3 linked regions of the Mus musculus genome follow. The main gene of each other region encodes a partner of the protein of the gene in region 2 in a complex. Links are inferred from orthologs where the notes say so. Each region holds a gene or a part of one and is shown on either strand. Other genes may lie near its edges. The genes, in order: Strada, Cab39 and Stk11.

What was found.
Region 1: the proteins of Cab39 (region 2) and Strada are in contact, whole or in part, in a crystal structure (PDB 3GNI), measured with the Homo sapiens proteins. The link is inferred for Mus musculus from reciprocal best matches to the Homo sapiens genes CAB39 and STRADA. Residues at the interface, in NP_001124321.1 of Homo sapiens: Leu26, Glu27, Lys28, Gln29, Tyr55, Gly56, Thr57, Asn58, Ala85, Asp86, Gln88, Leu89, Phe92, Glu93, Lys96, Arg107, Glu138, Leu141, Ile145, Ser176, Thr177, Phe178, Asp179, Ser182, Asp183, Glu221, Asn222, Tyr223, Val224, Arg227; in NP_001003787.1 of Homo sapiens: Pro64, Leu104, Glu105, Cys107, Ser108, Asn109, Val112, Gln116, Leu119, His120, Lys123, Leu124, Phe125, Asn126, Thr136, Phe137, Ile138, Asp140, Asn141, Leu143, Tyr185, Met189, His223, Gly224, Arg226, Val426, Asp427, Asp428, Trp429, Glu430.
Region 3: the proteins of Cab39 (region 2) and Stk11 are in contact, whole or in part, in a crystal structure (PDB 2WTK), measured with the Homo sapiens proteins. The link is inferred for Mus musculus from reciprocal best matches to the Homo sapiens genes CAB39 and STK11. Residues at the interface, in NP_001124321.1 of Homo sapiens: Gln109, Gly111, Thr112, Lys196, Leu197, Leu238, Asp239, Arg240, His241, Phe243, Met246, Ile250, Val280, Ala283, Asn284, Pro285, Glu317, Gln318; in NP_000446.1 of Homo sapiens: Gln100, Arg103, Arg104, Glu165, His168, Ser169, Gly171, Leu201, His202, Pro203, Phe204, Ala205, Ala206, Asp207, Asp208, Phe234, Arg301, Ser307, Arg310, Lys311, Lys312.

What each region holds. Positions count from the first base shown.
Region 1 is NC_000077.6:106,190,611-106,195,074, forward strand, and holds the start of Strada (STE20-related kinase adapter protein alpha), read right to left. Parts: upstream 2,994-4,464; 5' UTR 2,856-2,993; intron 1-2,855. UniProt on the Homo sapiens protein: Pseudokinase which, in complex with CAB39/MO25 (CAB39/MO25alpha or CAB39L/MO25beta), binds to and activates STK11/LKB1.
Region 2 is NC_000067.6:85,841,941-85,845,721, forward strand, and holds part of Cab39 (calcium-binding protein 39), read left to right. Parts: intron 1-257; coding exon 258-426; intron 427-2,652; coding exon 2,653-2,712; intron 2,713-3,781. UniProt on the Homo sapiens protein: Component of a complex that binds and activates STK11/LKB1. In the complex, required to stabilize the interaction between CAB39/MO25 (CAB39/MO25alpha or CAB39L/MO25beta) and STK11/LKB1.
Region 3 is NC_000076.6:80,114,538-80,118,858, forward strand, and holds the start of Stk11 (serine/threonine-protein kinase STK11), read left to right. Parts: upstream 1-1,257; 5' UTR 1,258-2,080; coding exon 2,081-2,370; intron 2,371-2,410; exon of another isoform or gene 2,411-3,050; coding exon of another isoform or gene 3,051-3,286; intron 3,287-4,321. UniProt on the Homo sapiens protein: Tumor suppressor serine/threonine-protein kinase that controls the activity of AMP-activated protein kinase (AMPK) family members, thereby playing a role in various processes such as cell metabolism, cell polarity, apoptosis and DNA damage response.

The sequences.
Region 1 (4,464 bases), on a different chromosome or scaffold from region 2:
CCCACAAACCACTTACAGATCTTGTGAAAACGCAGCCTGTAGTTTGGAAGGTCTGGGGTGGGCTGGGGAACTCTAACGCACTCCCTGGAAACGACAATGCCGTTGCCATGTGGACTGTGCTATTAACTAATATTTGAGAAACCTTGTTTGGAAGAACAGTCCAAGAAATGTCAATCTAGGAAGGAATGGAGACAGGGAGGGGTAAAAATAGCCTAGAGAAAAGCAAGCTGTTTAGAAAACCCCTTTCCTGGAGTCTGTGGCAGTAGGAACACCAGGAACAGATAAGTGGCTAAGAATGAACTATGAAATAATAAATAATTATATCTTTAAAATATTAAAAAAAAAAAAAAAAGAATGAACTATGAAGCATGTACAGCCCAGCCCAGCCCAGGCTATCTAGTTCATTCTTTACCCTTGGAACTCTTTGCTTTAAGACAGGGTCTCCTACACACAAAGCCACTACGTAGCTGACAGTGATCTTGAACTTGATTCTGCCTCCATGCTCCTCATTGCTAGGATTACAGGCCTGCACCACCAAGTATGGCTGGGGACTATCTTTTACAAACTCTCCTAGATATGTGGTTGTGTAGTCCCTGACTGAAAACTGCAGAGACTTAATACCTTATCTGAGAGCCCATTCTACAGCTGATGTGTGTTTGTGTTTTTGAGTGTTCGGAAAATGATTAATATGCCACGGAGCCAATGCCAGAAAAGGAAAAGTTTGGAGGTAGAAGTGGCTTTAGTGGAGGGGTAGATTAAAATATTTATTCATTTAATGTATAAGAGTGTATAGTGGCTGGGCGTGGTGGTGCATGCCTTTCATCCCAGCACTCCGGAGGCAGAGGCAGGTGGATTTCTGAGTTCGAGGCCAGCCTGGTCTACAAAGTGAGTTCCAGGACAGCCAGGGCTATACAGAGAAACCCTGTCAAGGAACAACAACAAAAAAAGTGTATACTGAAGGCTTGCAGGAGGGGTGCACATCAGATGTCTTCCTCTGTTGATCTCTGCCAAGTTCAAGTTTAATGAAGGTTGACTAATGTTGAGGATTCTATCTTCCAAGAAGCAGGGATAGCAATTTGTGAGAAAAGTAGTACTTGATGTTTAAAAGGAGGTTAGAGATGGCTTGGTGGATTTAAAGATCACCAGCTAAGGCTGTAAAAGTGGCAGAAATCCACAGCTGAGAATGATAGCTCATGTGTGGATTCTCAGCCCTCAGTAGACAGAGACAGGAGGATCAGGAATTCAACATCACACTTGGCTACAGTCTCTTTTGAAAAAAAGAAGAGACAGAGTGTAGTCTATAGACTCCACTTCCCTTTTTGTCCCCAGTCTATTGTTGACACTCAGTACCCTCTATTACAGCAGCGCTCCCACTAACCACCTACATTCCTCACCTTAGCTTTTTCCCCTCAAGGCAAGGTTTCTCTGTGTAGCCTTGGCTGTCCAGGAACTCACTCTGTAGATGAGGCTGGCCTCGAACTCACAGAGATCCGCCTGCCTCTGCCTCCCGAGTGCTGGGATTAAAGGCATATACCATCATGCCTGGCTCTCACATTAACTATTACACTTACCAATGTGTGTATATGTATGTATATATGTGTATATATATGTATGTGCTTGTGTGTGTATGTATGTATATATTTATGTGTGTACCTGTTTCTATGCTTGGTGAAGCTAAAGGACATTGTGTATTCTACTCTATCACTCTGGACACAGGCTGACAGCCAGCAAGCTCTGGTGTTTCTCTTGTCACAGGCTCATGGCCACACATGGCTCTCTACATGAGTTCTGGAGACGGCAGCATATCTTCCTATCTACAGAGACACCTCTCCAACCACCCAACCATACTATCGCCTCATTATCTCTCCCACTACAACAGGTACCGATAGGAGAATTCACTTGTTCTGACAGACTTTTTTTTCTTCTATTTTTACCGCTGGTCCTCCAAACTTTATGTCGGAGGTCACAACTATAAACCCAGCCAAAAAATCTTCTAAGAAACCTAATTAAAGGGTGAAGAGAGTTGACCAGTTTCCGTACTATAACTAATGGTTAAACTATTAAGTTCCTGCACTACGGCAGAAGCAAGTTAGCAATTTTCTTTTTGGTAGTGTGGAGAATGGAAAGCAAGTCCGCACTGATGTTAATCAAGAACTCAGGCGCTGAGCCACGCCCACAGTCTCAAATTTGGTTAATCAACCCTCAAGGATCTGAGTCAGTCTCAGGTGTTGGGTACCTCCGGATAAGGTTATCAACTATCATGAAGACCCATCCAAACACTGGAACATAGTTCTACTTCAACGGGTATTTCAGTAAGACCGAGTCCAACCGTCTGGGAGAAAGGGGTCAAATTGAAGTACCTTAGGGTCTTAGCAGAAGACTGAGTTGAGAAGTTATCTATTTCCTAAAATTATGAACAATTTTATTTAGCCACTCCCCTTCTGTCATGCTCACTCTCCGCCACCATACTCGGTCCCCAAAACTGCTGGGACACTTAAGACAACACATTTAGAAACTCTTCGTTTTGACCAAAGCAGAGAATAGCTCTGATCTTGCTTCCGTATGAGAACTCAACCCCATTTGGAAGCCCCGGAAAAGGTGGGGAGGCCATGCGGTAGCTAGCCTCTCCGGTCCGGCAACTCTGCTCAGCATCTCCCCAGCCAGGCCCAAGCCTAATTTTGCTCTCAGGCTGTAACCTCAATGCGGGAACCCAGAACCCAGGTTAAATGAGGGCCAGAGGAGGGCGAGGGTGAGCCGGGATGGCCACTTGAGGCTCACCCCCGAGGACACGGACTCGGAGTCTGGCAAGAGGGATTATCCCTGGGAGCGCACCAGGCGGCTCCGCCACCGGGTACCTGGTCTAGGAGTCAGAGCGCAGTACCGACTCCGTCTCGGCTCCGCCTCCTCAGTTTTGTAGCCGCGCTGCCGCCAGGCCGGTTGCTGGGAGGGAGGTACGCAACGTGACATGCGCAGTGGAGGGACCCAGGGAGACTGGCCGAGCCTCGCCCCTCCCCTTCACGGAACAAGCCCCTCCTACTCCCGCCCCACGGAGGAAGTCCCGCCCCTCCCCTACGGAGAAGCCCTGCTTTGCCCCACCCAAGAAGGGAGCTCCGCCTCTTGCCTCCAGCAGAGGAAGTCCTGCCTTGCCCGGTTCTCAGAAGATGCTCCGCCTTACCCCCTGCCCACTAAGGACTCTGCTTCGTCTCGCCTCGCTTCACCCCACCCATCCCAGTGGAGGAAGCTCCGCTTTTCCCCAGAGAGAGCTTCTGCTTCCATCCCACGTTACCGTTACCGGACATGCTAGACCCGCAGTCGCTTCGTCAGGGAGAGAGTTATTAACTAGTCTTTTTTCCCCTTTGCTGAGGTCGTTCCTTATCTAGGACGAAGGCAGGTTTCCCCACGTATGTGGAAGCGAAAGACCTTGTCATTGTTGCAGTTCCAAAGGACCCTAGAGTCTCCCTCGAGTCTCTGTACCCCTCCTAACCCAGCAGCAAGAAAAGGGGCAAGGGCTAACTATAGCTATTGACTTGGCTACCAGGGGTATTCCCACCCCTCATCCCACACTCTGCGGTTCCCAAATCCCAGGTGCCATTTCACCTGGTAGGACTCCAATTGAAAAACAAGTCTTTCTTGGGTCAGTCTCAGGCAATAGAACAACAAAGAGGAAACTTACCCTTTGTGCCCAAAGTTCCTTCTCCTTAAAGCACAGAAAATAGCTCAACTAAACGAGAGCTATGGTTTGTTTTTTGTTGGGGTTTTTTTTTTTTTTTTTTTTGTCCCTAAGTGCTTCATAACTATTTTTTGGTAGTGAGGTATTTTTGAGATAGTGTCGCATGTAGTCTGGACTGGCCTTCAGATCAGCTTCCCTCTGCCTCTGCTGGGATGGGATTAAAGACTTGGTGGTATGTCCTCTATTAGCAGAAACCTGTGATGAGTTTGCCTTTATGAAAAAAGACAGCAGGGGCCAAACCATATAGGACTAATAAAATGAGGACTCCGTTTTATCATGAAGTGATTTTTAGTCACTTCAGTTACTGTGGAGTGAGGGCCCAATACATCTGTGTACATACTGTCAAGTAATGAATACTTGTTTTTTTTCCTGTCTCAGATTTATACCAGTCGACTAACTTCCAAGAATTTTAAGTTTGGCCACATCATACAGGAACTTGGAAACGCACACTACCCTCACCTGAAGATCTCAATGTTTTACACACAGCTGTAACCTTGCCTAGTGCGTTTAACATGCCAAATTTGTTCTCAGTCTCACCACATTTCATCATCAAACAAACATCACGAACTCACAAAAAGCAAGGGGACTGGAGGAAAATGCAGTTTCTGCCAGTTCACATGGTCTTTGGAATCCAGAATATTAGGGAAAGCAATACCTGAAAAGGTGTCAAGCTTCGGTTTTTATTTTTTCATATGTTGTGTGTGTACTTGTACTTGAATGTACTTGTGTGTGTG
Region 2 (3,781 bases):
GCCTGCCTCTGCCTCCTGAGTGCTGGGATTAAAGGCGTGTGCCACCACTGCCCAGCAGAATTTTCTTGATTGAACGCAGCTGTCTACCTCTGCATGCAGCTGTAAGCTCCAGATCAAATGACCCTGCTGTAACGTGGCTGTAGTCACTTAGGAGTATCTGAAACTTCCATTGAGAAAGTTTGAAATGTTCACTTTTGCTGTCTTGAAAGAGAAATCATGTATGGCTTTTGTTTGTTTTGTTTTGTTTTGTTTTACAGGTATGAATCTCCAGAAATAGCTCTTAATTGTGGGATAATGTTAAGAGAATGCATCAGACATGAACCACTTGCAAAAATCATTTTGTGGTCAGAACAGTTTTATGACTTCTTCAGATATGTTGAAATGTCAACATTTGACATAGCTTCAGATGCATTTGCTACATTCAAGGTAACATTTAAAAACTGAAATTCTAAGCACACTTGCAAGTCAGATTGTTTCCCCATCTTTGTCTCCTCTACTCACACTGCCCTCTAGTGGAAATAGAGATGTGCTTTATACACATTTGTATGCCTCAGGTATTTGTAGTAAAACCACAAAAAAAATTGTAATGTAAAAAAATTAAATTCTCAAATCTTATCAGAAAAGCAAAAGTCCTGTAAGGTCAAAATTGCACTTTCCTGTTCAATTATTCACTAAGTGTGGCATAGATAATATACAGATTGTCCAACAAGCAGGCTTTCTCTTGTGATGAGGCACTCTGTAGTGCCTCCTTTGGCTGGCACTGGATGGGGTAATAGAATTGGCCTCTGCTCAGAGGCCATGGATTTTGGAATATATGTGTTATCAAATACAAGAACCACATTCAGGGTGGACAGCTATAAGTTGTTGAATTCTTGTTTAGTACATGTAGCTCACTCATACTCAGAAGCCATGAACACTAACACAGAATTGTCACTTTCCTTGTAAGAGCTCAGCTTCTTAATAAAGAGCCCCTGAGACAAGGGTGGCTCTGGGTAAAGTTCGTATGTAAGGGTAATGAATACGGTAGGACAGGAGGAAGGCCTGGGGACTGACAGTAAGGTTTCACCCTGACTAAGGCATTAATAGTACCAAGGATTTATTTTCCAAAATTAGTACAGCTTCTGCAGAAGCTTTAAGTAATTTCTCAGATAATGTGTGTACATGTCATGTATGAAGGAAGCAAACTGTAGTTAAGTGTCACCATGATGTCTCAAGCTCACCGCATTTGTGGGGTAAGACTCACGATTAGGATGCATCGATGGAAGGGAGTGCCCCATTCAGGAGCAGCAGCCCAGCATGAAGAGAGGTGTGGTATTGCCTTGTGTGAAAGAGGGCCCTTTGGCTGCACTTACTCAGATTGCCTGCAAGTATGATTCAGCCACAAAATTGAAGTGGCATCACCGTGAACAGATTCTGACATGCTAGTCTCCATCCATCCAGTTTCCGAGTGCCTGACTTGTTTCAAGCACTATTCTAGGGTCTGGGGATTCAGCAGTGGCCTGTACATAGAAGCCCTGTCCTTGTGGTACCTACTCAGGGGACATCAGCCTTTAACAAGCATGGTAGCAGGCTACAAGGTGGACATGCTCTTTGACAAGGAGGCTTAGATGCTTTCTCTGTTGGTAACTCCCTTGGAAGTAATTGTGTTCCTCTTTTGCATTGCAACCATTGATGCTTGAACTTTCCTTTCTGCCTGTGAAGGGGGTTGTAGCACCTGTCACATGCAGAGAGACCTTGTATGTGACATCCGCTGAGCAGCAGATGGTTACTGAAGGGTTCAGTAAAATGACTACTGCATCTCCAGAGAGGCCGAAACTTAATTCCAGCTTTTTTATTTCTCTTGTTTAACTCTCACAGTTAAGAGACTTGGGGGAACTGAGCAAAGTTTCTTGAACACCCTCTTTAATGAGGAAACACAGCACAAGCCCTGTGCAGCAGTGAACAGTGTGAATTCTTGGGGTGGGGTTAGAAGCTTTCTTAGACAGCATACCATGCAGAACATTGAGTATGATGCTTCCCCGAACACATCATCTAATTTTCCTCATCCATTCATTGATGTATTTATTAACACTAAGCCCTTGCTATGTACTAGGAAGAGTTTAGGTGCCAGAAATTCAAAAGTTGTAAATACCAGTGTGGTGTGGTCCTTGTGTTTATGGAACTGACAGTCTAATGAAGGAGAGAACTTACTAAATAATCCCACAAGCACATGTAGAATTACAACCATGACACATCAGGAAAAGTTTTCTGAGGAAGTGATGTTAAGTCAGAGTCTAAGGTCAGGAGTAGATGACTGGACAGACAAAAAGCTTCTGTGAGGGACATTTTTGGGAGGTGAGAGGCAGATCAACTCCCTGCATACCCAGATCTCAGTAATCTCCACAAAGGAGCTCAAGCTGGATTGGTGTCCATGTGTGTGACCTTGGGCCAGGGCCACCTGTAATGAGGCATAAACAGTTCTGACCAAGTGACACCAAGGTCATTTCATGGTCACTTTATGGTCCTGAGAAAAATTATGAAATATTAAGTAGCAACTGTGTGCTAATAGTTAACAACAGTTTATTAGGCAGTTTGGTGGATATTTTAGAATTCTCTTTCCTAAGAAAGCATTAATGGAGAGCAACTCTAAAAATACATGTTTTCTTCTTCTAGGATTTACTTACAAGACATAAATTGCTCAGTGCAGAATTTTTGGAACAACATTATGATAGAGTAAGTATGTGAAATATTTTAAATGATGTTTGTAATTTTTAACAAAAATTAACTTAAATGGAGATTTAAGTTAGATTTTACATCAGGATATTTGACTCTTTAGTATTTGTAAATAGTGCTATGATCACTTTACTGAAACAACATTGAGGACTACTAAGTCTGAAGCAAAATTTGACCTTGATTCATACATTGCCCTTTGCATCTTTTTTTTATTTATTTTAGAAGGGGGAAGTGGTCAGTTTTGCTCCTGAATGATAATCTAGTTAAGATGCAAAGAGAATTTAGTCTGACTTTTATACTTTTTCTTCCTTTTTCATCAGTTGCTGCACACAAGTAGAGAGAAAGAGGCAGCAGCTGATAGGATTTGAGCAGCGCTGGCCTAGTGGGCAGGACCCCAGCACTGCCCCTGCTTCGCTGCTTACTCCTTTGTGGCCATGGCCAAGGCACTCACTGCTTGGGGGCTTAGAAACCCTCCTTATTTGTAAAGTGAGGACATTGGACTAGCCATCGGTAAGGTTGCTTCCAGCTCTGTGTCAGTGTCAGTCAAACCCAGCAATGATGACCTCCAGAGAGCTGTCAGTGATCCCGGGTGCTTGATGACTTACTGCCCGTCAGCCACACAGCCACCCCAGGGCTACAGTGCCTGTGTTCACTCGTATACCTCTCCCTTCCTCTGGAGGGCTTCTCACAGTGCCACAGTAGGCCCCTATACACTACACTGTCCAGGCTCTGATAGGCACGTGTAGAGAACTTAGAATAATAACTTTCCACTTAAACTTCCCGTCCATGCTACAAGACTTGGCTTAATTTTTAATCCTTCCACTAGTAGTTTAAATCTTTGAAGTTTTAAATATTGTTGTATTTCATCATTTGCTTTCCTATCCCACTCCATTATAAGGTTCTGGAGGCAGAACCTGTGTTTCCTCCTCTCCTCGTATGTCCTTCTTGTTCCCCCTCTCCCAGCAGCAGCACAGCATGTGGCTAAGAAAGCAGCCTCATCAGTGGCTTAAACATTGACAGCACTTTATTTCCGCCATGAGTGTTTGGATGTGGGTGTTTCCTGTGTGTG
Region 3 (4,321 bases), on a different chromosome or scaffold from region 2:
TCTGTTTCTCTGATCTTTTTTCTTAATTTATGTGCTTGCATAAGTCAGTTCTCTCCTCCTTTTAAGTCCTGAAGGCTGAACACATGTAGAGCAAGCACTTTTCCCACCTTTCCTGGAGTCTAGGTCTCTCCCTCCCCCAGGACTCTCCTGGCAGTACACCCCGCCCCCTAGTGGCCTCGGAGGGAACCATAGACTCACGGATCTATGGACCTTGTAACCGGCCTGTGCGTAAACTTGTGTGTAGAGGGAGTCAGGCAGGGTGAGCACTCGTCCCTCAATCATACTCCAACCCTTATTTTTTATTCGTGCAGTTAAAAAAGGGCACAGATAAAAATAATTAGATTAACCACCCAAAAACACTGCAGCAGGTGAGTTGAGGCCAGCGGCGACGTCTTACCCAGCCACCTTTTTTGATAACTGTTATTTAAAATTCTGTGTTGTGTGTGTGCGCGCGCGCGCCTACCACGGAGTCCCTAGGTTCAGAGACAGCCTGAGGGAGGCATTTCACTCTAGCCACCTTGTGAACTTACGGGGATCGAACTCATGAAGTCAGATTTGACGTCAATCGCCCGCAACCTCTGAGCCATCTCACCAGCCCAGCTGCTCTTATTTTGCACAGGAAACGCTCCTCTCTATGCCATGGATCTCAGAGGCGCTACATTAAGGCTTCAGGTTCGGGAGTGTCGACTTTGGGCTACTTTTTGACCTTTGACCCCTCCCCCAAGGCCGTTAAGAGCAAGCCTGGGCTGGATCTCTTTAGGGATCCACGAGCCTCTCTCTCCACCCTCCCCCATGCCTCCAGTCGCGGCCGTTCCCCGGAGGACGTTGACGCGCGTGAACTCTAACCGGAGGCCCGAAACTCCGAGGTCACCACAGCCAGCCCAGAGGTTTCGCTGGCCCGTCGCGCTTGCTGACGGGCGTCTGCGACAGCCACTGGCAAATAAAGTCCCGCCCCCACACACCAGGGCCAACCACTGAGGGGCGGGGCTTGAAGCCACAGCCCACGGCCGCTCCCTTACAGTCGCTTGCTTACTCCCATTGACGGGCGTCTCAGACAACCAATGAGAATTTAGATCACGCCTTCTCAGATGGAACCCGAACTGTCCAATGTCAGCTCGGGCGCCCACCTAGATCCAAATAGCCCAATCCTCGTTGGCGATTGAGGCGGGTCCGAAAGGTGGGGCCTAAAGCTACAGCCAACTGCCGCGCACGTCGGCTCCGCGAGGGGGCGTGTCCACCGTTGCGACGTGCGACGACGGCGCGGCGCAGGGCGGTAAACAAGATGGCGGCGGCGTGTCGGTCTAGGAAAGGGGAGGCGGCTCACGGCGTCCGCGAGTGAGGCGCGAGTCGCCGAGGGCGGCGCCGGCGTGGAGTTGTCTCTCGCGGGCAGCATCTTTCTGCCTGGAGTTCGATTCCCCCCTCGCCGCTCCGGCCTCCTGCCTGTCGCGCGGCGGCTAGGCGGCGAGGGGGACGCGCCGCCTGGGGTGGTTTTTTTCCCCCCTCGGTCCCCGGAAGATTTCCTGTCCGGATTTCGTGTCCGCGACTTGCGGGTGTCCCGGTGTCCCGCGTCCGGGTGGAGTCTGCGCCCCGAGAAGTCGTAGAACTAAGGGGCCGCGCGCGGCTTCGGCGCGGGCCGGACATGGACGGCGCGGACCGGCCTCGACGCGGCCGCCTGGGCCCCTGAGCGCGGGGCCCAAGTGGCGAACATGACCTAGCGGCCCGCGCGCCGCGACGGCGGACCGTCGCCTCCGTCGGAAGCAGCGTCCCCGGGGACCCGAATTGGGGGGACGCGAGGGTTGGGGGGGCTCATTGCTTTTTTTTTTTTCATTCTTATTTTCATTTTTTTTCTCCCTGAGCACCTAGAAGAAAAGGGGAAAATCAAAAGTGAAGAATTGGCGCCCAGGAAGCGGACGTGGACCCGGTTGTGGGGACCGGGAGAGTTGTGGAGGTCGTTCCTGTTTTTCCCCGTTCCTTTTTTCCCCTTCTTGGAACATTTGGAAGAAGCGGGTGGGGGGGGGGGAATTCGAACTTGAAAAGAATTGGCGCTCCCGAAGGGGACGAGGACAAAGAGTGGGCCAGGATGGACGTGGCGGACCCCGAGCCGTTGGGCCTTTTCTCCGAGGGCGAGCTGATGTCGGTGGGCATGGACACCTTCATCCACCGCATCGACTCCACCGAGGTAATCTACCAGCCGCGCCGCAAACGCGCCAAGCTCATCGGCAAGTACCTGATGGGGGACCTGCTCGGGGAGGGCTCGTACGGCAAGGTGAAGGAGGTGCTGGACTCCGAGACCTTATGCCGCAGGGCGGTCAAGATCCTCAAGAAGAAAAAGCTGCGCAGGATCCCCAATGGAGAGGCCAACGTCAAGAAGTAGGTGCCAAGGGCCTGGGGCCGACGCGGGCGCTGCCTTGAGCTCCTTGGGCAGCCCTTCCTCCTACTTTCTGGCTCTTCTCTTTCCTCTAACCGTTTTCTCTTCTCATTTCCTTCCTCCTTTTTCATCTCTTTCCTTTTACTGCCTTATCTACCCCATCTATCCCTGAGCGTCACCTCGTGGGGTCTGTATGTTAGGGCAGCCTGCAGGACTGTCCTAGCAGGAGGTCGTGCAGCCAACTGCGCCTCCAGCCCCCCTCTTTGGGCCAGGTCCTGGCGCAAGTCGCGCCTGGCTTCTTTGGCGGGCGTTGCCAGGCGGGTGGCTAGTTTGTTTACGCAGCTAGAGGGAACCGGTGGGGCCAAAAATAATGGTGAAGGGGGTGGGGGGGGTAGCCGGCCAGTGCTTGCGCAGGTCCCTGCGGTGTCGTGCGCGTAGTTGGCGTCGTTGGCCCGTGGGGACTCTTTATCGCCTGCTAGGCTTGGCGGAACTTGGAAAACTTCACCTACCGGCTTCCAAGAAGGGGCCTTATCTTTGGGACCAGCACTGGCCACACTCTGCCTAACTGACCTTGCCTCTGGTCCTGTCCCAGGAAAGGCTGGCAGCTTCTTGTTTTTGCCAGCTGGGCACTGCTTTGAGTGGTACGTACAGGAAAGGAAGGTGGACAGATATCCAGGATCAGATGTGTGGACCCAGGGGTGGAGCAGGGCAGGCTGGTGGCCTAGGCTCCTCTCAGGACCTCCTTGGCCTTTTTTGTAGGAGTGGTCTTAGGTCAGTCTTGCACTGGGGAACCTGGGCACCCAGCATCAGGTGTTCCTTCAGAGGCCTGAGCTTGGAAATTCCTGGCTTGAAATCATTGTCTCAAGGTGGAGGTGCCAGAGGTTGCTCACCTCCAGGTGGTGTCTGCTGGTCTCCAAGGCAAGTGGCTTCCTTTGGCTTCAGGGTAATGGTTCTTGGAAGCCCACCATGTCTGGGAGGCTGCCCAGGCCTGCATCCTGGCTTGGGTCAGCTGCAGTCCTTGTAACACATGGCAAGCCTGTGTGCTCTCTCTGCCTGTGACAGAGGGCCCCAGAGCTCTGTCTGCGACTTCCTAGCCCTCACCTGCTGCTTTAGGCTTCCTGCCATCTCAACACCCAGGTTGGGGTGTGGCTTGCAGAGCCAGGCAGGTTCAGCTGAGAGAGATTGGTCCCTAGATCCTGAAGTAAACCCCCCCCCCCATGAATTAGTGATGCTGGACACAGTCAACACTGGAGGTCATCAGGACTGGGGAGCTCCTACACACTAGGGTGATATAAGGAGCCTGCACGGTTCCTCAAGACAGGAGTTGGTCTGGGCAAGTAGACACATGCCTCTCATTGCAGTGCTGGAGAGACTGAGGAAGGAGGATTGCTTCTGTTTCTAGACCAGCTAGGAGTGCATGGGAAAACCTGGTTTTATAAGGGAAACTGGTTGGTAGGGTGAAGGCCCCAGGACCCACAAGGTGAAAGCAGACTCAGTTCTCACAAGTTTGCTCTGACTTCCATGTGTATGCTGTGGCACATGTATATACACACACAAGATAAAAACCAGGAGGAGAAACTGAGGCAAAAGCTGCAGACTGACACACTGCCCTGCAGTAAGGTGCTTGACTGGCAGGATACAAAGCCAGGTATCTCCATGGGAGTGCTGGTGTTCCCCACTTCCTGAGTGGCTCCTGCAGGGCAAAGCCTAGGGCTGCTGCACCTGCTTGTGTGATCCCCACTCAGCCACAGCCTGGAAGGGGCAGCTTGGCGGGCAACAGCTGGTGCGGGCAGAAAGGCTCCTTTGTCTGCAGGGGCTTAATAGACTGCACTCCTGTTGTCTCTCTCACGGTGAAGTGTCTGGAACCTTCCAGGCAAGCCTCTGGGGTCCTGTCCTCCAGTCTGCACACAGAGCTTTCTCCTTCCAGTACCATACTGTGGATGCATGCCAGGG